Linked DNA regions of Coturnix japonica. The protein of the gene in region 3 binds, or shares a complex with, the protein of the main gene of each other region. Links are inferred from orthologs where the notes say so. Each region holds a gene or a part of one and is shown on either strand. Other genes may lie near its edges.

Region 1 (3,886 bases), on a different chromosome or scaffold from region 3:
GAGATCTTGCATCTCTCTACAACTACCTGAAAGAAGGTTGTGGTGAGATAGGGGTCTGCCTCATCTCCCACATAACAAAGCCTGTAGCTTTGTTTAATTAGTTACTTTCAGATTTCCCTAAGTTGGTAATTTTACCACATTTGACAACCCCCAAAAAGTCAACAGAACAATTTCACAGCACGACAGCACCAAAACCGAGCTTGTCAGGAAATAGATGTTTAGTCTAGATAATTTTAAAATGAAGAGCAAGTATTTGGGGTAAGTGAGAAGAACACAGCGAACAAGTTGAGTACAATATTGAAAAACAGACAAATATGGCAGAATGTCAGACAAACATGCTCTTAAGGGATGTAAGCATAGTTAGTCAGACAGGTTAAGTCAAAACCGGGAAGCATCAGAATTAAAACTACTGTGATAAAGCTCTTCTATTAACCTAACAGGCACTACCTTGTGCATTGTGTACTGTGCATTGCTGTATTCACTGTTGTCCTCTGTACCTAATTATAGGGTTGAGGATAATTTTTTTATAACTGCACAGAATTTAATATAATGTAGTCTCATCACTAACAGAAAAATGTACTTGGATGGTACAAATAAGTTATAACATCTGGAACTCTAGAGAAATAATTTGGTAAATAGTAGAAATGTGGATGGCAATTTGCAAAAAACAAATTAAAAATTAAACAAATGTGGGAAAGTCCAATCAGAAAATATTAAAGACTACCTATGCCACCCAAGTTCTGTGAATTCGGATAATTCATGTGTAACAATTAATTACAATAACATGATGATTTTCCCACAATAACACTTATTCTTTGTACAGAATATACTCACATAAGAAAATAGAACTAAGATTTTCCTGATAATGATGTTTACGTGTTTCAACTCTCAAGTGCTTTACCATCAGAAGACATCCTTGTAATTAAGTGAAAAAAAAAAAAGTACCTGTCACTTTATTAGACAGCAGAAATAGCTCTACACTATGAAACATGGAACCATTTTTATATTTCTATAAACACCACCATGCAGTAACTGAAGGCACCTTCTACACTAGAAAAATTAAAACGTTTTTTTCTGGAAATCAAAATAGTAGAATTATAAAAATAAAGGTAATTTCTAGTATTATTGTTCAAAACTTGAAAGTAAAAACAATACAAAGAACTTTAAAATTTTTCGTAAGCATGTAAAAAAGATAATCTTAAATTGAAAATCAAGATGAGGATGATATTGGTATGATACCTGACTAACTCTGTTGACCTCCTCCTCTTCTTCTTCAGCTTCTTCCCCAAATGAAAGCAGATTAAAATTTCTTGAAGAGAAAAAATACATTTTCTATTAAAACTCTTTATTAACATTTCATAAACTTCAAACATGCAACTTCCATTTTCTTTGAAATCTTGTTTTAACTATTTTTCCTGCTAAACATACCAATTCAACAAACAACCAGTGTTGAGGGACATTCCTGTTCTACAACTGAGATGGAACTGACAGGGCAATTACAAACTAGAATGCTTTAAAGTTACTTACCTAGAAAATGGTAAGACTGAATATAAAATTCTGCCATAACTAGCTTCCAGAGACTTAAATGCCAAGATCACTTTATTATTACTGTTTTTTAATACAGCAACACTACAGCAGTAAACACAAAATTCTCAAGACACAACAGCTCAGGAAAGCAGCAACCACAAATACAATTTCACAAATGTATTTAGAAGAGATTGTGATCTTCAATGCTTTTTTTTTTTTTTTTTTTAGTTATTTTTGCACTGGCTTAGAAACAGCTAGTTGCAATACAATCTGCTCCTGTCTAATAAATGTGTAAATATACCAAATTTCATTCATAAATGAATGCATTTAAAAAGCATTTGAAATTTAAAAACATTTTAATAGGAGAAAAGTGGTAGCTGATAAAATAAATTAAAAATCTAAAAGAACTGCACCCAAGTTACTAATATGTATTAACTTCTGCATCATCTCAGTCACAAATGATTGCATATTCTTTTTGCCCATGGCTTACACTCTCCCTTGCACAGAAACTACTCAAAGCACAGTAACTACTCAAAGCAATTAATCTCTATGATCTCTTAGCAGTTAGGGTTAGGTCTAACATTAGAGAACGTTCTTCTTGCATTTTGGTTAAATCTTTGTTTCAAATAAAGAACAACCAAGCTGCTATTTGAAAGTAAAAGATTAATTATGGCTCATGCTGTATGTATTTACTTTGTGCCTTTTACTTTGGGCTTTTTATCTTCTTCTTCTGGTTTGTCCTTCTTCAGCCTTCTATTTGGTCTTGGAACAATATCATCAAATGGATTAAACAAAACCTATTAAAAAAAGAATATTTTAGTCACATCCCTAATAAGCATTCTTAATTAAATGATCCAATGATTCAGTATTTTAAAAACAATATATAAAAGACACACCAGGTTTTCACACCAGATCCCAGTTTTCTTAGAAATACAAAAAAAACATCAAGTTTTAAAGAACAGCATACCCACCTCACTACTTCTTATCTTATGCGGACTGAGTGGTCTTTCTTCTTTGTCAACTTCCACTTCAGCTAGCCGCAACATGTTATATATTGTATCTCCTGTAACCTATCAGATATACAGGAAAAGTTTGAAACTACTTAAGTACTTCTGCAAAACGCAAAGCAATTATTACAAGACAATCTGAAAATACAATTGATACAGGAAATACTGTAGGCATACAAGACTTTTAAAAGGGAGTAAGTACAGATATCTAACAAAAACAACACTACAAGAACATTCAATAATAGAAGAACATATATATGCTTCTATCAAACTCAAACTGAGACTACTCTGTGTAGCAGACCTTTCCAAAGATCGTGTGCTTGTTATTAAGCTCATCTGCACGGCCCAATGTAAAAAAAAACTGACTGCCATTATCATGGGGTCCTGCATTTGCCATAGCAACAAGTCCTCTTCGATTAAATCGCAATCGTGAATGGAACTCATCCTGGAAAAGACAAAAAGAAGTATGTAACTACCATAAATTAACACACACTGACAAAAAACAAAGAGTTCAAATAAATTAAAAATTCAAACATTAATAAAACCAAAGTAATTTATATCTTAGTAACAAGACTTTAAACTTCTCTTTAGAGCAGAAAAAATATTTTAGTCTACTTTTTCTTCTTACTTTCTATAATAATACAAATAGGCAAACAAAATTATTTCAAAACAAAACAAAAACAAAATCAAAGCACATAGGAAAACACAGCTAACAAAATCTGAAGAAAAAGTTTCGAAGCTACTCCGCTAATAACAGAAACACAATCTAAGATAAATTAACTTTTGCTAATGTTTCCCTTTTTCTAAGTATTGCCTAATACTCATCACTACTGCAGAAATTAGTGCTCTAGCCAATAGTAAAAGAAAAAAAGAAAAAGAAAGCACTTCTTAAAGTAATGGCATTACAGGTAATTCTTGTAAAACCATTATTGTAGTTAACTGCTTCATTTGGCAGAAATCCTGAGTCATGTAAAATAACCAGAAGTTCAGTAACTTTGTAATAGTATGGTATTACGGTATTACTCAAATCCAAAGGAAGAACATTTTCAGGACCATGAGAAAACAAAAGAGGGCACCAAATGAAGATGATATTGATAAGTAATGCATTAATACCACAGTAGTATAAAACTCCTAAGTGCTTTCACACTTAACAATAATACCAAATTAAAGAAGTGTTGTTACTACAGTATTAGAAACATTTGTTTTGATGTTTTCTCAGGCAGCGATCCCTCCCACAAACTTCAGATTTGCATTACAATTACAGCTGTTGGACTGAAGGCCCAGAAAGGTCACACAGGTTCAGTCGCCAGCTAAAGATGTTTACCCTATCTGAAATTCTGAACCAGAACTAG
Region 2 (4,590 bases), on a different chromosome or scaffold from region 3:
GCACTGGGACAGGTGGTTGATGCTCCATGTATCCCTACTCTATTCTGCCCAATGAGCTTGTTTGTGGGGTGTTTCACTGGTATTCTTTGTTCCATATCTACACAGTGAAAAAACCCAAAGACACACAGTGGTATGTGGGCAGCAGGCCCTTGCCTCCTGTGTGGGCAATACAGTGCTCATTTGGGTATCTGGGCATCCAGGTACTGAGAGTCCTCTCAAACAAGCAGGGACTGAATCATTGTCAGCCAGCATTGAGAAAAGGGTAAAATTAGCTTAGTCCTTAGCATAGCTGTTTGGCTAATAATTCCCACAGTGGGGCATTTTTGCCTAACACTGGATGCAGATACTGAGTGACATATAGCCCAGCAGCTCATCTGCATGTAAATATCACATGGCTAAAATTAATTGCTCTGTCAGAGCTCAAAGAAACCATTTGACTCTGCAGAAACAATAATTCATCCTCAGGGACGAGCTTGTGATAGAGAGCGGCAGAACTGTGTGCTCCTCAGTGCCACCCATGCCCCCAGCACCCTCCTCCCTCCCTTGCTGAGTGCCTTTCAGCTGACATCATGTTGTGGGTGGGGAACTGCTCCAGCACAGCCCCACGGGCAGCAGCTCCCCCAGCCCTCCTGCCCCACTGTAGGCTCCTCTCCACAGGCTGCACCCTGGCCTGGGGCTGCTCCGCCTCCAGGACTCTTCCACTGCTGCACAGTGGGCTCCTCCATGTCTGCATACGGAGATCACAGAATCACAGAATGACCCGGGTTGGAAGGGACCTCAAGGATCATGTAGTTCCAACCCCCTGCCTGGCAGGGCCACCAAACATACACCTTTACTAGATCAGGTTGCCCAGGGCCCTGTCCAACCTGGTCTTGAACACCTCCAAGGACGGGGCATCCACAACCTCCCTGGGCAGCCTGTTCCAGGGCCTAACCACTCTCCTGAGTGAAGAACTTCCCCCTGGTATGATAGAGTGCGAGTGCGCGTTGAGGATGCCTAAAATATCTTTCCCTCTTTTTAATCTCTAAAACATGTCCCCCTTAGTCCTGCTATTATCAGCCCTTTCGAAGAGTTTACTCCCGTCCTGGGAGTAAGTTCCCTTCAGGTATTGAAAGGCTGCAATGAGGTCACCCCACAACCTTCTCTTCTCCAGGCTGAACAAGCCCAACTCCCTCAGCCTGTCCTCATAGGGGAGGTGCTCCAGTCCCCTGATCATCTTCGTTTCCCTCCTCTCGACCCTTTCCAAAATCTCCATGTCTTTTTTGTACTGAGGGCTCCACACCTGGACACAGTATGAGAGATGCGAGATGTGCCTGTGGGCTGCAGGGGGATGGCTCGTTCCCCTGTGAGCCTCTCCTGGGTGCTTAGGAAGGGCCTAGTTCAGGTTCTGTGCTTATTTTTGCAGGGAATTCTTGCTGACTCGTGGATTTTTCTCTGTTGAGAATAGTCACAAGGTCTCTTCCTCATTGCAAAGCCATTGGCAGCCATCAGGAAGCAAAGGCAGACAGTGGAGCAGGAGCTGTGACTGAGCACAAACAGCCAAAGAACCAGCGGGGTGGGAGGCAGCCGGGAGGAGCTGGGATGACTCTGTAAGCACACAGAAAAGCAGCAGCACAAGGGTTCTATGGCAGCACAGCAGGGTGTGTGTACTGCTCACAGTCATACACGACTTTAAAGCACAGCTCACACGCAGTGCTGCTGTACCTCAGGGCGGACAGCAGGTGCCACTCAGGCACCAACAGCGTCTATTTCCACTTCATTATCGAACATGGCGGACTCAATTCCGCACTGAGGTAACAAGTTTTTCCGCCTTCCATCTCTATGGTAGTTCCTCCTTCCGCCGCTCCGCTCTGTGGTGGCTGCGCGGCGCCTTGTGGGTAGAGGGCGGGATGATGGCGGTGGCGTAGGGCCCGGCTGCTCAGCGGGAGGAGACCCCGAGGTCAGAGAAGGGGGATTGAAGGGATTAAATCGGGGCTTCTGAATGTGGAGGGTCGGCCCTGGGGTGGTGGGCAGCCTGGGGGGACACCGGGAGGGAGGTTGAGGCCGTGGGGCGGCCTGGACGGGCCTGGGAGAGCGCCGATGGAGGCGGCTCAGCCGAGCCGGCGTTGTGCGGCACTGACGGGGCTGCTCCAATGCTGCGCTGATGGAACCTGATCGGAGCAAACCCCTGGTTGCCCCCAGCAGCTCAGGCTGCACAGGGCTCATCCAACCTGGCCTTGAGCAGGGATGGGGCACACAGCTCTATGGGCAGCTGTGCCAGGGCCTCACCACCTTTTGTATGTCTCTTATTTAAGTCCTTAGGCTGTGCTTATGGATGTGTGTAGTTTCGTTTAACAGACTGAAGATGGCACTGATGGGTCATCCAGGGTGGTTGGTTGGTTTGATTCTTTTGTTTTGTTTGTTTCTTGGTGGACTGCCCTAAACTTTTGGCTCTATGGTTTGGGTCTGCGTGGCCTCCAGCTGCTTTGTGCAGTGCTGAGCACTTCTTGGCATCAGTTATATGGGAGCCATAGTGGTGAGGCTGGTCTCTTTTCAGTAGTGTGTTGGGACAGGACTAGGGGTAATGGGATGAAAGTACAGCATAGGAAGTTCTGCACGAATGTGCACAAGAACTTCTTTACAGTGAGGGTGACGGAGCACTGGAACAGGCTGCCCAGGGAGGTGGTGGAGTCTCCTTCTCTGGAGATATTCAGGACCTGCCTGGACGCCTACCTGTGCGACGTGGTGTAGGGAGCCTGCTTTGGCAGGGGGGTTGGACTCGATGATCTCTAGAGGTCCCTTCCAACCCCCACAGTTCTGTGATTTCATTATTAGATCCTGTGTTTTTTTCCAGAGGGGAAAGAATTACTCTTCTACCAAGATATAAGGATAGGAGACTGGCTCCTGGCATTTTATCCACTTCTATAAACATGACCTCACATTCTTGATTGAGTCTCTATCATCTTTCAGGCATGTTGGAAAAGAAGCTGTCAGTAAAAGAAGCTCTTAAGCTTTAAGGCTCATGCACCAGTTGATAATTTGTATTGTGTAGTGGGATTTGCTGTTGCTGCAGCAGTTCCAAGAATGACGTAGCTTCTGGTGAATGGCTTTCACTTTAAGTTATAGTAATGACTGTTTTTTGCCCTTGACTCTAGTAACTAAAATGACGACAGCAGCGAGGCCAACGTTTGAGCCTGCAAGAGGAGGGAGAGGAAAAGGTGAAGGAGACTTAAGTCAGCTATCCAAGCAGTATTCCAGCAGAGACCTTCCCTCTCATACTAAAATCAAATACAGGTAAGTATCGTTATTGTCTGTCTTATAGCAAAGCAGCCTGGAGCTGTTTTGTTGTTTTCTTTCTTTGTGATGTGACCAACACTCTGAATTTCTTTCACGTTAGATATTTGTTTGCTTGACATTAAGCAGACACAGAAGCAGGCTTAGGAGATTGAGTGGGTTGCAACTGATTTGGAAGGTTTAGTTTTAGTGGTGTCAATAACTGCTTGTGGAAGGGAATCAGGAGAAGGTAATCTTTACAGATTAAGCATTTCAGGCAATGGAGTGAAAAGAAAAGCATTGGGAACATACAGAGACAGCTGAGCTAGAAAGGTGGTGTGACTTACAAGATGGGATAGGAGGTATGAAGTTGAGTATGTCATATATTGGCAAAGAACCTGGGGAAGAGCACTAAGAAGAGGCAGGGCAATGTGTAACAGCACTCAGGCATTAGTAAGTATTGGAAGAGCTGATGTTAAACACTAGAAGGGTTCTAGAAGAGCCTGTTGCTTTAACTGGTGTGAAAGATAATGGGATTTTATATGAATACTATCCTGTGTTTGGAATGCTTAATAATTTATGTTCTTTTAAGATAGCATGAAATCTGGAGTCAACATGCCACAGGATTTAACTGAGTTGTGTCAGCCTGAAAATAGTCTTTTTTTCTAGCTTAAACTGTTGCTTGGGTTTTGCTTTCTTAGTGCAGATATTTACCCTTTCACTGCTTCCCTTCCACCCATTTGAATAACTTTGAAGGTAACATGGATACGGGAGGTGGGATGTTCAGAGATCACCAAAAGCAACAGCACAAAATGTGCTATTAAGGGAAAAGTGGCTGGTGGTCTGTCTCTTTAAACAGAGCGGGAGTGTGGAGCACCAGTCTGTTGTTCTGAAATGAGTGTGTGGGAAGAAATACATACAGGAATATACGATGTGTGTGTGGTAACGAATCCCTTTGAGTGAGTGTGTATGTGTGTGTGAAGGGGCATTAAGCATCTTAAGTTCATTCTCCCAAATATCAAATACAAAGTTGTCTTTGCTAATTTGCCAAGGGCTGCATAATTGCAAGAAAGATTTGGTATTTCAGTCCCACTCTCCCGTGCCTCTTTGACAAAAGGCCTGGGGGGGATTTTTGCAGCCATGTCAGGGATTCTGAATTCAAGTTTTTAATTGTAAAAGCAAATGAAATGCTTCAGCATAAAGACAGCTTGTGCACGCAGTGTATTTCTAATGACTGGAGCCTGGGTTTCTTTCAGACACTCTTATTTCCAAACCTGAGTTCACAGCAAGGTGAAAGGAATTGCTGCATGTTGTTATTCATCAGTTCTTCTCAAGTCT
Region 3 (4,493 bases):
CCAAAAGATAGTGTGCTCAAACTGACCCAAACTCTTCCAACATGTAGGGCTTCCCCACCGTTGCCATACTCTATGACACTCTTTAGGTCTTCAAATCCATTCCAAACGATCTGAACAACAGACCCCTCACTGGACGCTTGAATGTTACTGGAATTTTTTTTGTCTTGCGTACTAGTCAAATGTTTTTGCTTTTCAGATGGCAGATTTTGCTTTGCTTCTTGATGACGCTGTCTGGGGGAAAGCAGCCCGTTAATTTTCCCATAAGTTACTACAGCATTTGGATCCAAATCAGTATATTCTAAATTCTGTGGAAAAACATGAATGGCACCGTGTTTCAGAAATGCATGAACAGCTGATGCGTTCTGTACGCTGGGAGGCTGGGACTGGCATACTCTAAAAATGGAATCCATGTGAATTAAGTTCAGCAGCTTGTCTTTGAAGGCGCTCATTTCATCCTTATCACACAGAGTCTTTTGTTTCTGTTCAGCTGTACGAGAGAAAATGCTCCCTATGAAATTCCACATATTTGGGAGAACACTTGAGCCAAACGTCACATTTGCATCAGCCTTACTCTGTTCAGGGACTCCTGGGTTTAAGTGAGGTTGACTGGCAAAAGGCTCCTTTACAGTTACGTCTTGCTCCATGCTATTCTTCACAAAGCTCTTGAGTAAGATGTCACCTTCTGTAGAAGGCATGTCTACGACGTTTTCCTCAAGCTCACGCGCTTTGGGGCAGATCAGAAGCTCCGTGCAAGGTTCTAATCTCCCATAGGGGGCTGCTGGCATAAGTGTACCTGAGTATGGATAAATCAGATGAATGAATGCATCCACTCTTGCAAAACAGCTTACTCAAGGCACCAGCAAAGCATTCACTGCTGCTTACCAATTCTGATGTAAACGTGAGTGTGGTGTTCAACCCAAACAGGAAAGATGGCTTTGGGGAATACGATTCGGATCTGGTCCAGAAGATGCTTTTCAAGAGAGGAAGCGTGCAGTTCCTGGGAAAGTGTGGTATCATTGTAAGCTACACACTTGTACAACCTTTAAAATGTGTTTGAACATAGAAGATTCACATCTTTTTCTAATACACCATTTGAAACATAAAATACAATGAAAACCCACAAGACTTAGCATTTGCTTAGGAGCAGAAAAGAACGGGGGATTGCGACAAAAGCTTGTATCAACATTCTCTGTCATTTGCATGAAAATGATGTGAACAGTGGGACAGGTTTTCTTACCAGTATTTCCCAATCATCTGCTGAGAGCGGTTCCACTTCTACTTGCTGACAGGAGGAGACGTGTGAACAGGGCTCCACGAACACCTGATAGAAGCAACATTATTTCTGAATAATTTAACTCCTTAAACACATAAAACCTCTACTCAGAAACTCAAAAAAGGGACCTGCATTTCAAACCTGTTCTCCATCTGCAATGCCAAGCTTCTCTGCTAAATGCCTGTTCATCTCTGCGATATTTTCACCCCGCTGACCTCGATGCCTCATTTCCATCCAGCTCAGGTAGATGGGCTCATCACGGCAGGATACTTTGACAGCTTGGCCCTGTGATTATCAGGCAGATGAAACGAATTACTATCAAATCATACTCAGAAATACTCAGACCCATCTGGGTCCAGGGGCGAGGGGTCCCGGCCCGTTCGGAGGATGCACAGTCACCACAGCGACAGTGCGGGGGGCGGCTGGTTGCCCTGCGCTGTCGCTGTGGTGACTGTGCGTCCTCTCGAGGAGGGCTCTGAGCACCGCCATGATGACGGGATACGATGGGGGGAGGAAGGAGAACCTCTCTCCCACAATCCCCTCCGAACGGGCCGCCCCCATCTCGTCCCCGTACCTGCTGCAGGCGGAGGTGCGAGGCCAGCACGGCGGGCAGGTGAAGGAAGCAGTCCCGGGTCCCGCTCAGCACCACCGTCACCGCGGCGACTCCAGCGGCCCCTCCGCCGGGGTTACCGCTGCCCCACATGCCGCCAGCCGGGTGGGCCGGGCTGTAGTTGCTCGTTCCGCCCGGCTTCTCGGCAGCGCCCACTTCCTTCCCGGAAGAGCCGACCGGAGCCGCGGTGGCGGCCGGGAAGATGGCGGCGGGCGGTGCTGGCGGGCCGGGGGAGGCGTGTAGGCACCACCAGCAGCTGGGAGCATGCGGGTCCAGGGCCAAGTACCGCGAGGGGCGGCGACCCAGGGCCGTCAAGGTGCGGGGTGAGGGCGGGTGGGCTGCTGGAGACTTGTTTAGTCCGCAGGTGTCGGTGCTCTGACATCTGGAGAAGCATCAGCTCCAGCTGATGTTCTGTGATGTGTTCATCCCTGCTTGAGTTCATCCCTGCCCGCGGTGGCTCCACACAGCGGGCAGCACGAACGCTTTGAGTTGTTGTTTTCGCAGTGAGGTAAACGTGGGCATTTTAGAGCATTGAACAGCATCTCCCCTATGAGGAGAGACTTAGGGAAGTGGGTCTGTTTAGCCTTGAGAAAAGAAGGCTGAGAGGGGACTTGATCCAGGTTTATAAATACCTGAGGTGGGGAAGCCATAGTGGTGAGGCTGGTCTCTTTTCAGTAGTGCGTGGGGACAGGACTAGGGGTAATGGGATGAAACTACAGCATAGGAAGTTCTGCATTAATGTGTGGAAGAACTTCTTTACAGTGAGGGTGACGGAGCACTGGAACAGGCTGCCCAGGGAGGTGGTGGAGTCTCCTTCTCTGGAGATATTGAAGACCCGCCTGGACGCCTACCTGTGTGACATGGTGTAGGGAGCCTGCTTTGGCAGGGGGTTGGACTGATGATCTCTAGAGGTCCCTTCCAACCCCTACAATTCTGTGATTGTCCTGTGCTTCTTTCAGGTGTACACCATCAACTTGGAATCGCGTTATTTACTAATCCAGGGAGTTCCTGCGCTGGGCGTCATGAAGGAGTTAGTGGAGCAGTTTGCCTTGTACGGAGCCATAGAAGAGTACCATGCACTTGATGAATATCCCGCAGAGCAGTTCACTGAAGTTTATCTGATAAAATTCCAGAATCTGCAATGTGCCAGGTATTATACACAGCACTATCTGCCTTTTGTTGTTTTAATCCTTCACGGCCCCTTTATGTATGATCTACATCATACAGAGTTGAAGTAAAACCCTCAGCTCTGCTAATGCCATTTAGTTTCCTTCAGGGTGGCCAAGAAGAAGATGGATGAGCGCAGTTTCTTTGGGAGTTTGCTGCACGTGTGCTACGCTCCAGAATTTGAAACAGTCCAAGAAACCAGGGAGAAGCTGCAGGACAGAAGGAAGTATATTGCAAAAGCAACAAATCAAAGAGGTTTGTAGTTAAATCTCATGTCCAGTTTTAATTCCAGTGGTTGGTACGTCTTGGTAAAGCCAAAAGCATCCATTGATGAAAATATACTGTGTTTAGCTGTTTTACATTAGGACATTTCTCAGTTATTCCTAGAGATGGACCTTTCAGAAAGCAACGTTTTAGTTAACATGCACTTTAAAGCTTTTAAACCTCATTGTTTCCTTCATTTCTTTTCAAAACGTTACCTGAAATTTTAAGTACTGCCAGGAAACTGAGGATCAGTTTGTTCCCCTTGTTACAGTTCTTTCAGGCATACCCAAAAAGAGAGATTAGTAAGAGAGCCCCCTCCCTGCCCCTTATTTCCTGCCTGTCATTTGGGTCAGTAAGGAACACGAGGAATGGATTGGGCTGACAGGCAGCTTTGCTGCTGAGTTCCCAGGCAGCGCTGAAGGCTGGACAAGCTGTAAAATAAGTACAATGCCAGGCACAGGCTTCTCCTTTCCTATGCTTATGTACTTGGATATCATTATCCACTGCAGGTGCTGCTTAAGCAGAATCACAGGAAGGTGACTGGGAATGAAGTATTGCTGGTATTATTTCTGTCACTGTATTGAACACTTTATGTATTAGAACTAACAGTGGCATAAAATAATGAAGCTGTTTTCCTTTTCTTTTCTTGTTGTTTTAAAGACTGCTTTCTGTTGAAGAAAACAGAGAGGCCTCGGAGGACCAAGTCTGATTCTCAGTGGAGTACCCCAGGATCACATGCAGCCACTCACTGGGATCCATCCTGCTTTCCAGTTCCTCATGGGTTGTCCCAAAACATGGAATATCCTTCTGGCAATCACAGTCAGGACCTTTTGGCTTTTCCCCACTGCGACAACCCCAGTGCTGAAACCTCTGGGAACTCCAGTCAAAGCTCATCCCTAACTCAGAAGGCGCATCCAGGAGGATGTGCTGCACCAGTGCCTTTAATTCAGCAAAGAACAGTTCCAGCTGATAACGGCATTGACAGGTTTATGCCTCGTACAACTCACCTGCAGGAACGTAAGAGGAAGAGAGAAGAGGGTAACAAATGTGCCCTCACTGAAACAAACGTGGACAGTACTGACATCGTTATTGGCCCACAGCTACCAGAAGTACCTCAGGTGGATATGGATGATGATTCACTGAATACATCAGCTATGCTGATTCGAAATAAGCTGAAAG
Region 4 (4,535 bases), on a different chromosome or scaffold from region 3:
GCAGCAACTTTAGGTGTCCTTCTTCAGGCACTCAATGATCTTTGGTCTGTGGTGGCTGTGTCCATGCCAAGCATGTTTGGCCTGGGAATCCCCCAGCTTCATCAGCCTTCTGATAGGATTTTCCCTATGAAATTCAGCCTTTGACCCTCCCCACTCCAGTATTTTCATTGGCTTCCCAAAGAGAGTTAGCCAGCTGTGTCTCCTCGGGGAATTACCAGGAACCACAATGAATGAACCACATGCCCATTGTGCCAAGACTGGTGTGCGGATTTGGGTTGAAGAAGCATCTGTCCTAGAAGGAGCCGTGTCTGTACCACAAGGCTTTTTCCTGAAGAGGCTTTTCAGCAAAGCTCCACCTGCATGGGGACATGACTTACACTGGCGAGAAATGCTTCTAGCATGAGTCAGAATCTGGAACTGCAGGGGGAGCAAGGTATATTGGAAAACATACATGAATATAACAAATATTTGGGGAGCAGGACCTAATCTCCATTAGTTGGCTTGCTGGGTGTGAGATGGGACTTTTCTTTGATGCTTGCAACTGTTACAGCTAGGCTGACACTGTATAACGACTGGATAAAGCCTTATGAACAACCAAGAACATGGCTTAATCTTCTTCTTAAAACGGTGTCAAGGAGGCTTTGTCTCCAAACAGAACATCTTTCTTCGTTGTGTTTTCTTCACTTCCTCCCCAGCTCACATGGTTAATGAGAAACTCTTCCTGAACTCACGTAGTGTTGATAATGCAACAAATCTGCTATGAAGAACTGCGAAAAGAAAGCATTGACCTGATGGTATTCCGGTATCTCTTTGTAGCATTCCGAAATGGTATTCCAGAACATCTCTTTGTACACTGCTTTTGTCCTGGAGAGCTACTTACTGGCAGAGGTGTATGTGTGTGTTTTTAGGAATGAATTTTCATGTGCCGCCTCTTGTGTTTGCTTTGCCAAATCATCTGCCCATGGTGCAACACTCTTTACACAAACCCCATCCTTGTATGTTGGCTCCTTTAGGCTGAACACATCACAGAGGTAATTTGGGCCAAGGGGGAATAGAGCCATCTTGGGCCACTGATAAGCTGTGCCAGTAAATGTGATTTTGAAAGGAATCCAGTTGTTGGCAGCTGATTTAGAAACGTCCTTGGAAGCCGCTGGCGTTGTACATGTCACACTGTGACAGGGTTACTGTAGAATTAGATGTTCAATTAGATGTAAACGTTTGGGGGGGGGGGGGTCTTTAAAAAAAGAGTGTAATTACAGGCCTCTGTAAAATCTAAGGATGCTGTAATAAGTAGCACATGTAAGTGAAGTTTTCTTACAAAACACAGATCTTTCTTTTCTCGGATTGCTACAAAGGTCTCTATTTCAAGGAGGTTTTCCTTTCAAGATGCACTAAAAACGAGCCCGATTCACTCAGCAGACGACAGCACGCAAAGTGCCGAGACTGTAAGTTCAAAACAAAACAAACCAACATATTATTATTAAAACAAACCAAGAACAAAACGCCAGTGCAACACCGCACCCTGGCGTTGCAAGCTCCTCAATGCAGCCCGGCGCACCCGATTTGCGTCACTTCCTATGAGGTATAGAGCAGGAGCCGGACGTGTCTCCATCGCTGTCGGTGGGGAGCGGGGAGCGGGGAGCGACGGCGCCATGGTGGAGGTGAGGGCGGTTCAGTTCTTGTGTTACTGAGTGTTGTTGGTAGGAGCACAGAAGATGCTGTGCAGTTCTCCTACGTAACAGTTCTTTTACTGGGTGTCATCACTGTCCAGAGATATCTATAGTTGTTCACCTCCTGTTGTGGAGGTATTGAGTTACCTATTGCTTTTATTGCGACAAGCAGACATTTGCTACTGTAATTCCTGTTTCTTTTTGCAGTTGCATGGAATTTCTAGTTCCCAAGCCCTATTATAGATGTTCTTTATTTGATATCTAGATTTTACAGGACCGTCCTGAGCTAAAAGTTTTGTGTGGGCCCTACTGAGTTAGGGGAGTATGAAGTGTGGCAGAATGGGGCAATGAGTGGGTAAGCAGAGTCCAGGGCAGGAAAGCAGAGCTTAGTGGAGGAAGCCCCAGCTTAATGGAGTGTGGAGGCTGGGCAGCTGAATGGTAACTAGAGCCCGAAGTTCTTAATGCTTCCACTCTGTGTTGCTCCTATTTGTGACATACAGAGCGAGCACAAAGAGGCTCATACTCTGATTATCACATCTCTAATTATTTATTTATTGTGCCTTGAGAGGAAGGTAGGAATTAAAACCTGAATTGCGCGGTCCTAAACAAATATTCTATATAAGCTAATAGCTTTAAGTTCTACTATTTTGGCCCTGACTGAGATATTAACAATTATTAGCTTTTAGTAATGTGTAATTTCAAAAGGACAAGAGGCTTTGTCTTATTTGATCCCAGGATTACTTCTTATAGTAAACATCACTGTTCTTACATAGGGTGACACTGTGCAGAAACTGATGTTCATTTTTATGGAGGTAGTGCAATAAAGGAATGTTTTCAGAATCAGGTACTTTATTGTTTAGGTATAAAAGCATCTAGAAAACATGGAAGATAAACGTATTCATGTATTTTTAGATGATAGTGCAAATTTTTTCTGGCTTGTCATTTCTGAGAAACTGGGTTTTACTTTGAGCAGGCATTGAATTAAAACAACTAATAGATATACTTGAATCTGTAGTTTCTAAGAGGAGCAGTGTTTGATGGGAATAGTGTTGTATCATATGCAAGTCTGAAATTGCTACTCAGTTTCTTTTTCAGATTTCAGTTTTTCATTTAAACGTGGCTAAATTTATTTAAATATGCTTTCCTTTATTTTAGGAAGTCCAGAAGCACTCTGTGCACACACTTGTGTTCAGATCTTTGAAGAGAACCCATGATATGTTTGTAGCTGATAATGCCAAACCTGTACCATTAGATGATGAAAGGTGAGTGCTGTGGCTGAGTTTTACTTTGTTAGCAATTGTTCTATAGAATCATAGAATCACCAAGGTTGGAAAAGACCTAAAAGATCATCTAGTCCAACCGTTCACATTACTATTAGCTCCCGCTAAGCCAACACAACATCCAGTCGTTCCTTGAACACCCGCAGGGTCGGTGTCTCCACCACCTCCCTGGGCAGCCCATTCCAGTGCCTGACCACCCTTTCTGAGAAGTAGTAGTTCCTAATGTCCAGCCTGAATATCCCCTGCCACAGTTTGAAACCATTCATCTAGTCCTATCACTAATGACAAGAAAGAAGAGGCCAACCCCCAGCTCACTACAACCTCCCTTCAGGAAGTTATAGAGAACAATCCTATCCAAATCAGGAGTTTGGGTGTTCAGTACAATTAGCAGTTAAGGGAACTGAAAAGCATGAAGATTGTAATGTTAGCTGTATGAAAGGTTTCCTGTTTTTTAAAATATTTCAAAACTTAGTAGCAGTTCAAAAATCAGGATTTAATCAGGATTATGCTCTGTTCTTCCAACAGCCACAAAGTAAAGATGGCAGTCAAGCTGCGTACTGAGTACGGCTCAGTATTGCACATGCCTACTCTTAAAGAAAACATGAGAGAGAAAGGAGGCCCAGCCACTGGGGATCCATATGGACATAAACAGTATTCCGGAAATGAAGGTTTGTTATTCCTAGTACCATGTTTGTTCTTTGTTTTCACAAGGAAACAGTAGGAGACTTAATTCATTAGTAAAACAAGCAAGTTTTAAGGTAATGCTAGTGTGTGCTATATTTGGGTATTAGAGAGCTAATAAGGGTTGAGGATGTTGTCAAATTGAGGATGCTTTGCACCACCTACTCTGTTGTACTGTTTTGTTTGAATGCGTTATTTTGTTGGTCTTTAGGAGAAGAACTGGAGTATGTGATAACTGGCACACATCCATATCCACCTGGGCCTGGTAAGTAAAATTCTGTGTTTAAATCAGGTATTTCAGAGTTAAACTGAGATTTTTTTTTTAATTATTTTTTTAATTTTTTAATTTAATTTTGTTTTTTTTTTTTTAAGGTGTGGCTCTGACAGCAGACACTAAGATCCAGAGGATGCCGAGTGAATCTGCAGCTCAGTCCTTAGCAGTATCTCTTCCTGCTTCTCAGTCCAGGTACTGCTTTATTACTTCATTAACATTTGCATAATCTACAAGAACTACAAGTCAAAACAAAGTACTTTGAATATTCAGCTTTATAAAATACCTGAAAACCTGATCTAATGGTTTGCAACCTTGCCCATGGCAGGGGGGTTGGAACTAGATGACCTTTAAGATCCCCTCCAACTTAAGCCATTCTGTGATATGATTTTAAGTTGGTCAGATATCATCTTGGTGTATGCAGTGTTCTTTCTTGGCTGTCATTAGAGGCAGTGGACAGAAGGGGGAGAATGGGGATCACAGAATAACAGAATTGTAGGGGTTGGAAGGGACCTCTAGAGATCATTGAGTCCAACCCCCCTGCCAAAGCAGGTTCCCTACACCACGTTGCACAGGTAGGCGTCCAGGCGGGTCTTGAATATCTCCAGAGAAGGAGACTCCACCACCCCCCTG
Region 5 (4,622 bases), on a different chromosome or scaffold from region 3:
CTGGCTGAGGATGCACTTCATCATCCAGATTGTCAGTGAAGACGTTGAACAGGAACAGGCACACACCCTGCTGATCACTGAAGAACACCCTCTGGGTTTGACCGTCCAGCCAGTTTGTAATGCACTTCATTGCTCGTCCAGCCCAGGCTGTATCAGTTTTTCTGTGGGGATCTTGACAGGTGTCAGAAGCTATATTCATGTGTCCCTAGCCTTCTTTTTGTCCCCTATAGACTTGGAAAAGCCATTCCTGGTGCCTTTAACATCTCTTGTCACATATAGTGCCAGCTGTATTTCTTTCTAAACCACCTCCCCGTGTGCTCTGACATTGTGTCTGTACTCCTCTCAAGTCACTTGTCTCACCTTCCACCTTCCCTGTACTTCCTCTTTGTACCTCTTGGTATTTTTGCTTGACTTCCTCTTTGTTCACATGGGCAGCTCAGAGGTGGAGGCACATCAGTATTGGGTAGCTTTCTTTGGTCCCATTTTCCTATAGGTCCTTGACCCACAGGACTCTTTCAGAGCCACCTCTTGGTTAATGAGTTGGCTTTACCTTCACAGCTGCCCTGCTGAAGCTGGCCCAGCGTAGCAGCTTCCCTCGCTGGCTCTTCTATCACTTGAGTTTTGAAGTTGGAATCTCACGCTTTAAGCTGTGCTGTGTTGCCCCTCCAGCATACACTGGAATGGCTGAAGGCCTCCAGAAGGGCCTAAGCCTGCAAACATGAGACTCCCATCTGTCTGCAGAGGGCACCTTCCATTTACTCTCCCTGATCAGGCTGGAGCTGCACACTGCCCTGTCTCCATGGCTCTCGGCTCTTTAATCCTTATTGTTTGCCTGGTTCCTCCCCCAGACAGAGCTCCATGCAGGAACGCCGCTCTCTTTGCCCTGCCTCCTTTGTGGATACAGAGCATCATTTCAGTGTCCTCATACAGCACAGCATTAGGTGGGTTGGTGTGTTAGTCTGTTCTGACACGAGCAGTGCTGTGTGCAGTTTGACAGGGATGATGGCTGGGTACACCAACATGGGGCAGGTAAGTCACCGGGCTGGGGCCTTTCACCCCTGTAGCACAGCAATGAGCAGAGCAGCAGCACAGCATCCTGCAGCAGCAATGGCTGCTCACGCCGTGTTGTGCCCCATAGGTGCAGGTGTGGGACACGGCCGGGCAGGAGCGGTTCCGGAAGAGCATGGTGGAGCACTACTACCGCAACGTGCACGCCGTGGTCTTCGTGTACGACGTCACCAAGATGGCGTCCTTCACCAACCTCAAGATGTGGATCGAGGAGTGCAACGTTCACGCCGTGTCCCCCCTGGTCCCCAAAGTGCTGGTGGGGAACAAGTGTGACTTGAAGGACCTGATCCAGGTGCCGTCCGGCATGGCTCTCAAATTCGCCGACGCTCACAACATGCTGTTGTTCGAAACCTCGGCCAAGGACCCTAAAGAGAGCCAGAACGTGGAGTCCATCTTCATGTGCCTGGCCTGCCGGCTCAAGGCGCAGAAGTCGCTGCTCTATCGCGACATGGAGAAGCGGCCGGGCCGGGCGCAGAAGCTAGAGCCGTCACGTGACGCCCACGGTAAAAGCGCGTGTCCGTGCTGAGCGCCGACCAATAAAGCTGTGCGGAGCCCTCGGACTCGTTGCTTTGCTTGGCGCGCATGCGCGGCCGGGGCGGGGGCGGAGGCGGGGGGGTAAGGGGGGCGCATGCGCAGTGCGCGCCGCCGCCGCCATGAAGTAGGTTTGGATGGGGGCTGGGTGAGGGGGGGGTGTGCGACCGGCCGGTGCTAACGGTGCTAACGGAGTGCATCGCCCCCAGCCCGCTGACCAAAGTGAAGCTGATCAACGAGCTGAACGCGCGGGAGGCGGAGCTGGGCGTGAGCGAGGCGGTGTCGTGGCACGCCGAGTACAAGGACAGCGCGTGGGTCTTCATCGGTACGTGTAGGCCGCGATGGGGGGACGGGGAGGGAGGAGAGAGCAGGGCTGTGGTAGGCCCTGTGCTGGGCTCCGTGCTGGGCTCCATGCTGGGCTCCGTGCTGGGCTCCGTGCTGGGCCTCCATCGCTGCCCTGTCTCCCCCCGCAGGCGGGCTGCCCTACCAGCTGACAGAGGGGGACGTCATCTGTGTGTTCTCGCAGTAAGTTCCTACCTGCTCCATCCCCATCTTGCTGTGCCCCTCCAGCCCTGCTCTGTGGCTGCTGATGGTGTGTTCCAGGTACGGGGAGGTGGTGAACATTAATCTGGTGCGGGATAAGAAGACTGGGAAGTCCAAAGGGTTTTGCTTTTTGTGCTATGAGGATCAGAGGAGCACCGTGCTTGCTGTTGATAACTTCAATGGGATCAAGGTGAGTGATGGAGCTGTGTGGCTGCAGCAGCTCCTGGAGCGCTCAGAGCACATCAGAGAGAAGCTCCATCGGCTGCTGGCCCCACAGCACACGCTTTGCTGACTACCTGACTCCTGTCCTAGATCAAAGGCAGGACGATCCGAGTGGACCACGTGGCCAACTACCGGACTCCCAAGGACTCCGATGATTTAGATGATGTCACAAAAGCCCTCCATGCAAAGGGCTGCGGAGTGAAAACACCACCTCATACGTCGTCAGATTCCTCCTTGGAGGATGAAGACACGCCAGCCCAAAAGCAAAAAGGTGAAATGCATTTCTGCCCATCTTTGCCCTGGGTGGGAGGATCTGTGTGGGCTACAGGGACTCTTAGCTCAGCGTACAGCAGGGATAGGGATCCTCTTGAAAACAGATGCAACCCGAATGTCCAGGCTTATCCTCTGTGATCTGCGTCACACTGCCAGTATTTATCTATGATCATTCACCCCCTGCCTCTGGAGATCCTTATTTTGCAGGTTATAGTGGCACTCTTCCTGGAGAAAAGGAGTTGGGCTGGGCTGCAGGGATGTTGCAAGGGGGAGGGGGCAGGACAGTGGGGGACAGGGAGAAGAAAGGCTCCAATAAAGCCTTTCTCTACAGAGCTCTGGTGCTCTGTAGCAGAACTGGTGGGGATGATGCTTGCAGGACTGTCCATCTCTAAGGATGACCTTTTTGTTTCAGATAAAGAGAAGAATAAACATGAACGGCAAAAGCAGAGCTCTCAGGCTGCAAAGAGAGCAGCACCTGCCGAAGAGGCACATCCGAGAATCAAGATTAAAAAGGAGAAGGAAGATCCTGGCTACGAGCGATATGCTGCTGGTGGGGGTCAGCAGTCCTGCAGTGAGTCTGAGAGGAAACACGTGAGCAGGACGCAGCGAGATGAGGAAGAGCAGAGACACCAAAGGTCGTCGGGGAGGAGAGGGGAAAAGAGCTCCCAGGAACACAGAGGGCAGAACAGCTCACGGGAAGAGAGAGGAGAGGTCAGCAGGAAGGGTGAGGGACACAGCAGCTGGCGAGAAGAGTGTTCTGAGGGAAGCAGATCCAGGCACCGGCGGGAGAGCAGCAGCAGAGAGCCCCATTCCAAGCACAGGGAGCGTGGATCCACCAGAGATTCCAGCCGTCACTGAGCCCTGGAGTGAGCACCTTCTGGGCCACAGCTGTGCTCTGTGAGCTGCACCGGGAGCCTGTCTGAAGCCTCCTGCTATGGCCCTAAGGGTACCACAGCTGTGTCTCGTCTCACACACACCACTCTGACCGGTTCACTCCTCAGACAGGTTGCTCTCAGTGCTGTGGGCTGTGATGTGGGCTCTGCTGCTGCCTTGCTCGGCCCTTCTGTGCAGTGGCATCACTCAGACGGTTGTGGAGGGGCTCACGGCACAGTGTGGGCAGTGGGGTGCTGAGCAGCAGGATACGGACACCGAAACTGCCCACGTTGTTCAGGGGGAGCGTCCCTGTCTGCAGTGGGGCGGTGGGTGCTTGCAGGCGGGCACGGTGCTTTGTGCCCCCAGCCCGTCCTGCTTCCTTTGTTTATGTGATGGATATCAGAGGCTGCTGAGCCATCGCAGTTCATGGCGTTTTTTGTTTTAAACTCCTTTTAATAAAAATCGATCCTTTAACCAGAGGAGATGACTGGGAGCACTGCTTGTGTCCGGTTGTGCTGTTTGGACTGAGCATTGATGGCAGCTGACACAGAAATGGGGAGCGCACAGCAGTGGATCTGAGCTGCGCTTTGCTCTCGGGGTGGTTCCGGTCGGTCCCGTGCCTGCAGCGCTCTCCCGTCTCCTCCCCGCCGTTCTCGGGCGGTGCCGCTGGATCCCAATTGCGGGCCGAGCTGCCGGGTCCGCCCGGCTGGGGGGCGCAGTGCTTCCCGTTCCGCCGCGCTTCCGGTTCCGGGTGGAGTTGAGGCAGTGTCCGGCCCGGCGCGGCGGCGCGCCCCGCCATGCCATGTCCGCGCTGAACTGGAAACCCTTCGTGTACGGCGGGCTCGCCTCCATCGTGGCCGAGTTCGGTGAGCTGCGGCGGGTACCGGCGGGTACCGGCGGGTATCGGCGGGTACCGGCGGGTACCGGCGGGTATCGGCGGGTATCGGCGGGTACCGGCGGGTACCGGCGGGTATCGGCGGGTATCGGCGGGTACCGGCGGGTACCGGCGGGTATCGGCGGGTATCGGCGGGTACCGGCGGGTACCGGCGGGTATCGGCGGGGCGCTGACGGCCGGTCTCCCCGCAGGCACGTTCCCCGTGGACCTGACGAAG
Region 6 (2,786 bases), on a different chromosome or scaffold from region 3:
AGTAGGGATTTAAGAATCCAGTTACAGTAGAAGCAACAAAGTTCAGAAGAAATGTCATTTCCCACATAAATACGTTAATTTATTGTCCTTATTTAATTTCTCTCACAAGAGATCTTCATTCATTTTAGGCTACCACAACTTCCAACAATTTTTTTGCACTATTGTACTTGCAGAATAAATGAATATGGTTAAGAATAGAGGAATTTCTTAAATATATATATATGTATATATATATATATAAATGACACCCTTCATTTCATCACCTGTGTGGGCTTTTATTGCAGTTATCGTTTAAAGTAATCCTTTCCCCTTTTTGGAGGGGCAGCTATGTCTTTTTCATTCAAAGAGCCTACAGGAAACGTGAAAACACGGCTATACCTTGAAGGGGACAGTCACTACCACCCTCTATTGGTGCATCTGCCTCATCTACTCTGTTCCTTTTGATCTTGCAGCAGAAACCCACAGCTCCCGTGCAATGAGTACGGAGTCGGTACAGCTCTGACACCCAGCGGCCACTTCACTCTCGACCGGCTCCTGAATTCCAGACAGTTTCAAACTCGGCTTTGACTGATTGTTGCTTAGAAGATAGATAGTTTAGGGTATTATATTGTTTTATTGTTTTGACACTGCTTTGCATGGCCTTGGCTTCATAAGATGCTCATTTATGAAGAAGCGGCCTTGAATCATCTGGATTAGATTTCCGTGGGTTTCTTTGGACTATACAGCATTTACAAAGAAATAGCTTGAAGCATCCTCTCAGAAAATTGCTGGCTACGTGTCTTTCCTATTTAAAAGCAAATAATTAAAGTCAGCACTCCCATGTGACAGCATGTATTGTTCCACACTTATTAAATTTAACATGGATTTTAAAACTAGAGAAGAAAAACTGCTTATTTGATGAATAATAGAATGTATTTCATTCCCAACTTTGACCAAGTTTGATAGGTGATACAAATTATAATTTACAAGTTTTATATCTGATTATTCTATGATCAAGAAAGACTACTTATTTGATGAATCATAGAATGTATTTCAGTCCCAACGTTGACCAAGTTTGATAGGTGATACTAATTATAAGTTTTCTATCTGCTCATGAGTTTAATATCCACATGAAATATTACCCACATCAACAAAAGAAAAATAATTTCCAATGGTAACATTTGATCCTAGCTTAAACATAGCCCTTGTGCCTGCCCAGCTGCAAAGTTTGCCTTTGCCCACAGAATCATTAAGGTTGGAAAAGACCACTAAGGTCAAGTCCATCCATCAGCCCATCCCTGCTGTATCACTATGTCCCTCAGTGCCACGTTCAATTGGCTCTTGGACACCTCCATGGTCCAACATGTCCAATCTAGGACTACACCCCCCGACATGCCTTTATAAACCCGCATATTCTTCCCCCCCCCCCCCCTCATCCGGGATAGTCGGCGAAATCCCCCCCGCTCTCCGTTATGGGAGCGGAAAAGGATCCCTTCGTCCTGTGGCGTCATTTCCTGCCGCCATTTGACTTGCAGGGGCAGCGCCATGACGGACCGCTACACCATCCACAGCCAGTTGGAGCACCTCCAGTCCAAGTACATCGGGACGGGCCACGCCGATACCACCAAGTGGGAGTGGCTGGTCAACCAGCACCGCGACTCGTACTGCTCCTACATGGGCCACTTCGACCTGCTCAACTACTTCGCCATCGCCGAGAATGAGAGCAAGGCTCGCGTCCGCTTCAACCTGATGGAGAAGATGCTGCAGCCGTGCGGGCCGCCCGCCGACAAGCCCGACGAATCCTAACCCGTTGCCCTGCACACCGGCTCCGGGCTGGCTGTGACTCCACACGCCGCGGGGAGATGGTGGGAGCCGCCCCGATCCTCGTGTCCACCGAAGGGAGCTGCAGGGAGAAGGAAGCTCTGTGTAACGCCCTCTCTTGGACACTTTCGTTACGCTCAGTTGCACGGCTGTTCGCCCTTTGTGGTTTTTTTTTAATGGGAAATAAAATCCGCTGTCTGTTTCTAACGTGTTGTGTGGTAATCAACAATAGCAGGACACGGGGAAATGGTTTTAAGTTAAAAGAGGGAAGATTTAGGTTGGATGTTTGGGGGAAGTTTTATTCCTAATGGAAAATGTCAAAGTAAAGCCTGGCTAAGGTTGTATGTGAGTTTACCAGTGGCTTTTTTGAAGTTGGTGACCTCAGAATTTCTGAGCAATAAACGCCTCATACTCTTTACCAAGCCTTATAATCTAAGCTGCTGAAGATGCTGCAGTAAGAACAAGTGCATGCACTCCTGAGGTCACATTCAAGCCATAATATCCATCTGAAGAACTCAGGAATAGATTTTGTTGTTGCATGTACTACAATGAGGGCAAAGATGAAATGATCCTGAATCAAATGTAACCTGCTACATATGTGGGGACTAGTGCTGTTTGCAAGCCATTGTAAACAATGTGAGCAACAAGTGTAAGGCACATGGGCAGAGCTGAACGCCTCCTTCCTCCAGGCCATCTCTATTATATGAGCAAGGCTGCTTTCAGGGAGAAGTCTGAGTTTTGGCTGAGAAATTTGGCTTTCCACTGTGATCTCCATCTCATTTTCCTAAATTTATGTAGTTTAATCTCAGATAAAGTGAAGTGTGAGAGAAATAACTTGTTTCCGATGCAGATGTGCACTGTGTTTGTCACGAAGGAATTTCACTTGTTCTTGTTCTGCCAGCTATCCCATCTTTGTAGGTTGGAGTAGAACGTGTACATATTATTCTATTGCTATTTTTAATTAAAAATTCTAAAAGATAAATATA
Region 7 (4,474 bases), on a different chromosome or scaffold from region 3:
ATAACATCAGAGAGCAGAGGAGCTCTAGGAAGCATTACAATGACTCGAAGTGCACAATTTGGAGTTGGCAGCAGCACTACTGATAAGAAAGAGCTGTTTCTCCTAATGCCCACATCTCACAAAGCAGGCACAAGAAGGAAGAACAGACTCTGAGTCAATGCTACCTCAGTGGCCCTAAACCAGACCCAAGCAACACAAGGCAGCAGATCCCCTGGCAAATAAGCTCTCCCCAACTCCATACCTGTACGGTGTTTTCCATATCCACACAAAAGGAAAAATGATTAACAGAAAAACAGGGGATTGCTCATCCAAGCAAAAGGGAACTGATCTCTGGCTGATGGACTAAGAAACTCAGCTCACTTATGGAAACTTAAATAGGACAGATCCTTACATGGATAATAGTGATAAAATCCAGCCACATCTGACATCCCAGCACTAGGATTTAATGCAGAGATGCTGCCCAAAGAAGAAATTATAGATTTAATCCCAACCAGCTGCCCTATCTAATGATGATATTTTACCAAAGTACAGCTATTAATATAGTTTGTGATGTCGGATCACTGTATCACAGCCTCAAATCCATCACCAACCCACTGATCCACCAGAAAGCACCCAAGGAACCAGCTGTTTTGACAACAAAGGGTGGTAATTGCACGTAGAACCTCTAACAAACTTAATTAGAGCCATGCATGCTCAAGCCTGACAGTGACACCAGAGCCTGTCCTGTCTCATGTTGTAACTACCCAAAAAGCACAGAGCTATCAGGAACTTATCGGACCAACAGCAAATCACTTGATGTACATTTCTCTGCCTTCTCCAAGCATAGAAAGCTGAGAATAAAACCATGCAGATTTCCGTTTACAGACAACGTGAAAAATGTTTATTTGGGAAATACATCCCTTATTGTTTCAGACTACAAAAAAAATCACTCCTACAAAAGGAGGGGACTTTGAGCTCAGCATGCAATGCCAGTTACATGTAACTTTCTATCTACCAGCAGGGGTAGATCTCCCACTGCACCTTCTTCATTCACTCCAAACCATTCTGAACTGCAATCACTGCCCTAAGAACAGCGATTTCTAGTTAGAAACACTTTGTAGAAGAGTGATATTGTCTCCTTTTAACATGATCCGACCTGCAACACAGAAAGGAAATGGGGGATTAGAGAGATCCCAGAATCCAAGAATACCTCATGTTTTCACATATTATCCCACAACAGGAGATGCTTGCAAGAAGATGCCCCTATTATAGAGGGGGAGGGTTGCAATGAGTCCTATCCCTGCTGGCAGCCCCATATGGAAAGCATAGCAGGGCAGGGTCCATACTCATAATCCACTCCCAACTCTCAGACACCATCTCAGCCCCAGCAGAACACTGTCCCTGCTATAAACTCAATCCGAATCAACGCATCCCCTCATCACAGACAGCTTTATCTTCTCCAGCAGCGGTAAATAGTAAATACCACCAGTCAGGTGGCTCCTGCTTTGGCCAAGAGTTGACCCAGCAGGTACGAGAATTGCTCAGGGCTACCAAGTTTAGAAACAGCCCAAAGGAGTTTGGACCAGACTCCTCCAGACACCTCAGTTGTACAAAGACAGCATTTAAAAGATAACAACTGGTCTCAGGCACAGGGAGATTCTCCTTTACATTCAGCAAAATCATCACCTTTAACAAACATCAGGAACAAAGACTGAGCCAGCACCTGCCCAATGCTCTCCCAAACCAACACCTGGCATGTGCTTTCCACCTTTAAGTGTTGCTACCAGCAAGGCTCACCCAACCACCTTTCATGCTATAACACGTTGACATACCCAGCTGCTTCCTTGATTTTGTTTTGGAGTGAATCTCCTCTGCATCATCCAGCACCAGGTTCATATATTCATCGAAGCCCTGAAAATCAGTGGCAAAAACACTCAGTTGGTAGCACACAGACTCATGAACGTGGGAAAGCCAATGGTAACACATGGACATGTTGGTACTCACAATGATGCAGCCTTCTATCCGCATGTTCACCTGCTCATAAAGCCACACCTGGATCCTGGACCTCTGCAAAACAATCAGGGTGAATAAACTGGAAAAGAAATGCTTCAAGCAATGCTGGTCTTTGCTTCTGTGCATTTAAGAAAGCCTTGCTAGTAATGTGGTGAGAAATCTTTGCAACCAACAGCCACTGCAGCTCTGAAACACCCCAAAGAGCAACTCCCAACACAGAACCTTGTAGGTGTGGGTTATTGAGTGTGTGTTACACACACAGGGGCACAATCAACATACAAAGGTGTTAATGCAAAGGGAGAACGCTCATCTCTGAGCCAGCTCTTATGCTCCCAAACAGCACCAGTTCTTCGTTTGAAGCCGATGGGCTCCAAAAGCAGCCAAGAAGTTACAAACCCAAAGGCGAACCCAGCCCTGCCCCGGCCCCAGTACTCACGTTCTGCAGGTAGCGGAAGATGAGGTTCTGTAGAGCAGCGTTAAGGACGGGAACAACTCCAGAGAGACACAAGGCCCTGCAGGGCCGCTCCTACCCTCCACTCGCCATCGGCCCCAGAGACGCCATAGGCTCCATAGGCCCCATAGACCCCACAGGCTACATAGGTCCCACTCGGCCCCAGAGACCCCACAGGCCCCAGAAACCCCATAGGCTCCATAGGCCCTGCAGGCCCCAGAGACCCCATAGGCCCCACAGGCCCCATAGACCCCATAGGCTCCACAGGCCCCACAGGCCCCACAGGCCCCACAGGCTCCATAGGTCCCAAAGGTCCCACTCGGCCCCAGAGACCCCGCAGGCCCCATAGGCCTCAAAGGCCCCACAGACCCCATAGGCCCCATAGATTCCCCCATAGGGCCACACACCCCATAGGCCCCATAGACCCCACAGGCCCCATAGGCCCCATAGGCCCCACAGGCCCCATAGGCCCCATAGGCCCCATAGGCCCCATAGGCTCCATAGGCCCCGCAGGCCCGTCCCCTGCCCCTCCGGACAAGGATACGATGGGCTGCACCATCACCTTCTGCACCTTCTGGCCCTGCCCTCGATACGCCATGGCTACTCCCTGCCCGCCGCCACCACAAGCTCCGCCGGAAGTCGCAGAGAACACCGGAAGCCGCTGAGCAAGGCGGGAACGCGCAAGGGACGCTGGAAGACTTGCCGCTCTAGGAAAGCGGGAGGACCGCGTCTCTACTGCTCGCAGATCCCACCAGTGCTGTCTCGCATTAAGATCCCGCCCACCAATACGCAAAGAGGCGGCGCATGCGCAGTGGTGGCGGCGGCGGGGCCATGGCGGGCGAAGCTCCGCTGCCCTCGGTGGCGCTGGCGCCCCCTGGCGGCGGGTCTGGGCCTGGGGTCGGACCGGGCCGAACCGACGGTACCGAGGGGCTGTTCGTGGCTCTGGGCGCTGGGCTCGCCGCCGTCAGCCACCCCCTGCTCTACGTCAAGCTGCTCGTCCAGGTCCGGGGCCTAAAGGGGGTGTGGGGGGGATGAGACCCCCGTGTGGGGGCAGGGGGGAGGCCTGAGGTGTAGGCCGAGGTGTGAGGGGGGGTCGTGGGGCGTCTCTATGGGGTGACGGCCTGTGTAATGATGGGGAACCCCATAGGGAACTATGGGGACCCTGTGCAAAGGGAACCCCCCATATGTGGCAATGGGGGTTCCCTCCTTATAATGTGTTGAGGGGGGTAATGGGGGGTGACGGCCTGTGTAATGATGGGGAACCCCATAGGGAACTATGGGGACCCTGTGCAAAGGGAACCCCCCATATGTGGCAATGGGAGCTCCTTATAATGTGTTGAGGGGGTTAATATGGGGGGTGAGGCTGTGTAATGATGGTGGAACGCCCATAGGGAGCTATGGCGGACCCTGTGTAAAGGGAACCCCCCAATATGTGGCAATGGGAGCTCCTTATAATGTGTTGAGGGGGGTAATGGGGGAGTGATGGCCTGTGTAATGATGGGGAGCCCCATAGGGGGCTATGGGGACCCTGTGTAAAGGGAACCCCCCATATGTGGCAATGGGAGCTCCTTATAATGTGTTGAGGGGGTTAATATGGGGGTGACGGCCTGTGTAATGATGGGGAACCCCATAGGGGGCTATGGGGACCCTGTGTAAAGGGAATCCCCCATATGTGGCAATGGGGGTTCCCTCCTTATAATGTGTTGAGGGGGGTAATGGGGTGAGGAGGGTCGTGCTGTGTGATGGGGTGGCACTCAGTCACCGTTATCTGTGTGTATGGATCCCACCTGTAGCTGTGAGGATGGAATGGGGAGCACTGTGGGAATTGGGATATTGCTGCATCAGGGACAGCTGTATAACAGGGAATGGGAACTCATATATAAACATATATACCAAAGATAAAGACCAACGTGTGCAGTGGAGGCTTGTTTATGTGACAGGTGAGGGGACCCCATAAAATGGGATGGATGAAGATACCCACACAATGGGGATTCCTATATAACAAAGGATTGAATGTGGGTCTTCATCCCT

The links.
Region 1: RBM48 (region 3) and spliceosome-associated protein CWC27 homolog share a complex: the UniProt entries of both Homo sapiens proteins name them as parts of the minor spliceosome. The link is inferred for Coturnix japonica from reciprocal best matches to the Homo sapiens genes RBM48 and CWC27.
Region 2: RBM48 (region 3) and CWC15 share a complex: the UniProt entries of both Homo sapiens proteins name them as parts of the minor spliceosome. The link is inferred for Coturnix japonica from reciprocal best matches to the Homo sapiens genes RBM48 and CWC15.
Region 4: RBM48 (region 3) and PLRG1 share a complex: the UniProt entries of both Homo sapiens proteins name them as parts of the minor spliceosome. The link is inferred for Coturnix japonica from reciprocal best matches to the Homo sapiens genes RBM48 and PLRG1.
Region 5: RBM48 (region 3) and RBMX2 share a complex: the UniProt entries of both Homo sapiens proteins name them as parts of the minor spliceosome. The link is inferred for Coturnix japonica from reciprocal best matches to the Homo sapiens genes RBM48 and RBMX2.
Region 6: RBM48 (region 3) and SF3B5 share a complex: the UniProt entries of both Homo sapiens proteins name them as parts of the minor spliceosome. The link is inferred for Coturnix japonica from reciprocal best matches to the Homo sapiens genes RBM48 and SF3B5.
Region 7: RBM48 (region 3) and SNRPE share a complex: the UniProt entries of both Homo sapiens proteins name them as parts of the minor spliceosome. The link is inferred for Coturnix japonica from reciprocal best matches to the Homo sapiens genes RBM48 and SNRPE.

The regions. Positions count from the first base shown.
Region 1 is NC_029547.1:21,421,273-21,425,158, reverse strand, and holds part of spliceosome-associated protein CWC27 homolog, read right to left. Parts: intron 2,980-3,886; coding exon 2,836-2,979; intron 2,598-2,835; coding exon 2,499-2,597; intron 2,325-2,498; coding exon 2,221-2,324; intron 1,310-2,220; coding exon 1,240-1,309; intron 1-1,239. UniProt on the Homo sapiens protein: As part of the spliceosome, plays a role in pre-mRNA splicing. Probable inactive PPIase with no peptidyl-prolyl cis-trans isomerase activity. As a component of the minor spliceosome, involved in the splicing of U12-type introns in pre-mRNAs.
Region 2 is NC_029516.1:165,899,798-165,904,387, forward strand, and holds the start of CWC15 (spliceosome-associated protein CWC15 homolog), read left to right. Parts: upstream 1-1,770; 5' UTR 1,771-1,793; intron 1,794-1,827; exon of another isoform or gene 1,828-1,939; intron 1,940-3,134; 5' UTR 3,135-3,142; coding exon 3,143-3,273; intron 3,274-4,590. UniProt on the Homo sapiens protein: Involved in pre-mRNA splicing as component of the spliceosome. Component of the PRP19-CDC5L complex that forms an integral part of the spliceosome and is required for activating pre-mRNA splicing.
Region 3 is NC_029517.1:20,668,673-20,673,165, forward strand, and holds the start of RBM48 (RNA-binding protein 48), read left to right. Parts: upstream 1-1,558; 5' UTR 1,559-1,760; coding exon 1,761-1,886; coding exon of another isoform or gene 1,887-1,976; exon of another isoform or gene 1,977-1,998; intron 1,999-2,056; exon of another isoform or gene 2,057-2,085; coding exon of another isoform or gene 2,086-2,199; intron 2,200-2,842; coding exon 2,843-3,033; intron 3,034-3,159; coding exon 3,160-3,305; intron 3,306-3,974; coding exon 3,975-4,493. Other genes in the region: PEX1 (peroxisome biogenesis factor 1), read right to left, coding at 27-793, 883-997, 1,238-1,321, 1,415-1,558, 1,848-1,976. UniProt on the Homo sapiens protein: As a component of the minor spliceosome, involved in the splicing of U12-type introns in pre-mRNAs.
Region 4 is NC_029519.1:18,056,383-18,060,917, reverse strand, and holds the start of PLRG1 (pleiotropic regulator 1), read left to right. Parts: upstream 1-1,548; 5' UTR 1,549-1,577; coding exon 1,578-1,661; intron 1,662-2,825; coding exon 2,826-2,932; intron 2,933-3,475; coding exon 3,476-3,618; intron 3,619-3,842; coding exon 3,843-3,896; intron 3,897-4,003; coding exon 4,004-4,097; intron 4,098-4,535. UniProt on the Homo sapiens protein: Involved in pre-mRNA splicing as component of the spliceosome. Component of the PRP19-CDC5L complex that forms an integral part of the spliceosome and is required for activating pre-mRNA splicing.
Region 5 is NC_029519.1:1,522,195-1,526,816, reverse strand, and holds RBMX2 (RNA-binding motif protein, X-linked 2), read left to right. Parts: upstream 1-1,672; 5' UTR 1,673-1,721; coding exon 1,722-1,726; intron 1,727-1,808; coding exon 1,809-1,924; intron 1,925-2,072; coding exon 2,073-2,124; intron 2,125-2,202; coding exon 2,203-2,332; intron 2,333-2,454; coding exon 2,455-2,635; intron 2,636-3,049; coding exon 3,050-3,495; 3' UTR 3,496-4,003; downstream 4,004-4,622. Other genes in the region: RAB33A (ras-related protein Rab-33A), read left to right, coding at 1,139-1,594; SLC25A14 (brain mitochondrial carrier protein 1), read left to right, coding at 4,313-4,376, 4,597-4,622. UniProt on the Homo sapiens protein: Involved in pre-mRNA splicing as component of the activated spliceosome. As a component of the minor spliceosome, involved in the splicing of U12-type introns in pre-mRNAs.
Region 6 is NC_029518.1:41,251,425-41,254,210, reverse strand, and holds SF3B5 (splicing factor 3B subunit 5), read left to right. Parts: upstream 1-1,471; 5' UTR 1,472-1,524; coding exon 1,525-1,785; 3' UTR 1,786-2,007; downstream 2,008-2,786. UniProt on the Homo sapiens protein: Component of the 17S U2 SnRNP complex of the spliceosome, a large ribonucleoprotein complex that removes introns from transcribed pre-mRNAs.
Region 7 is NC_029541.1:2,015,979-2,020,452, reverse strand, and holds SNRPE (small nuclear ribonucleoprotein E), read right to left. Parts: upstream 3,148-4,474; 5' UTR 3,042-3,147; coding exon 2,988-3,041; intron 2,456-2,987; coding exon 2,429-2,455; intron 2,047-2,428; coding exon 1,984-2,046; intron 1,891-1,983; coding exon 1,812-1,890; intron 1,136-1,811; coding exon 1,080-1,135; 3' UTR 858-1,079; downstream 1-857. Other genes in the region: MTCH1 (mitochondrial carrier homolog 1), read left to right, coding at 3,248-3,445. UniProt on the Homo sapiens protein: Plays a role in pre-mRNA splicing as a core component of the spliceosomal U1, U2, U4 and U5 small nuclear ribonucleoproteins (snRNPs), the building blocks of the spliceosome.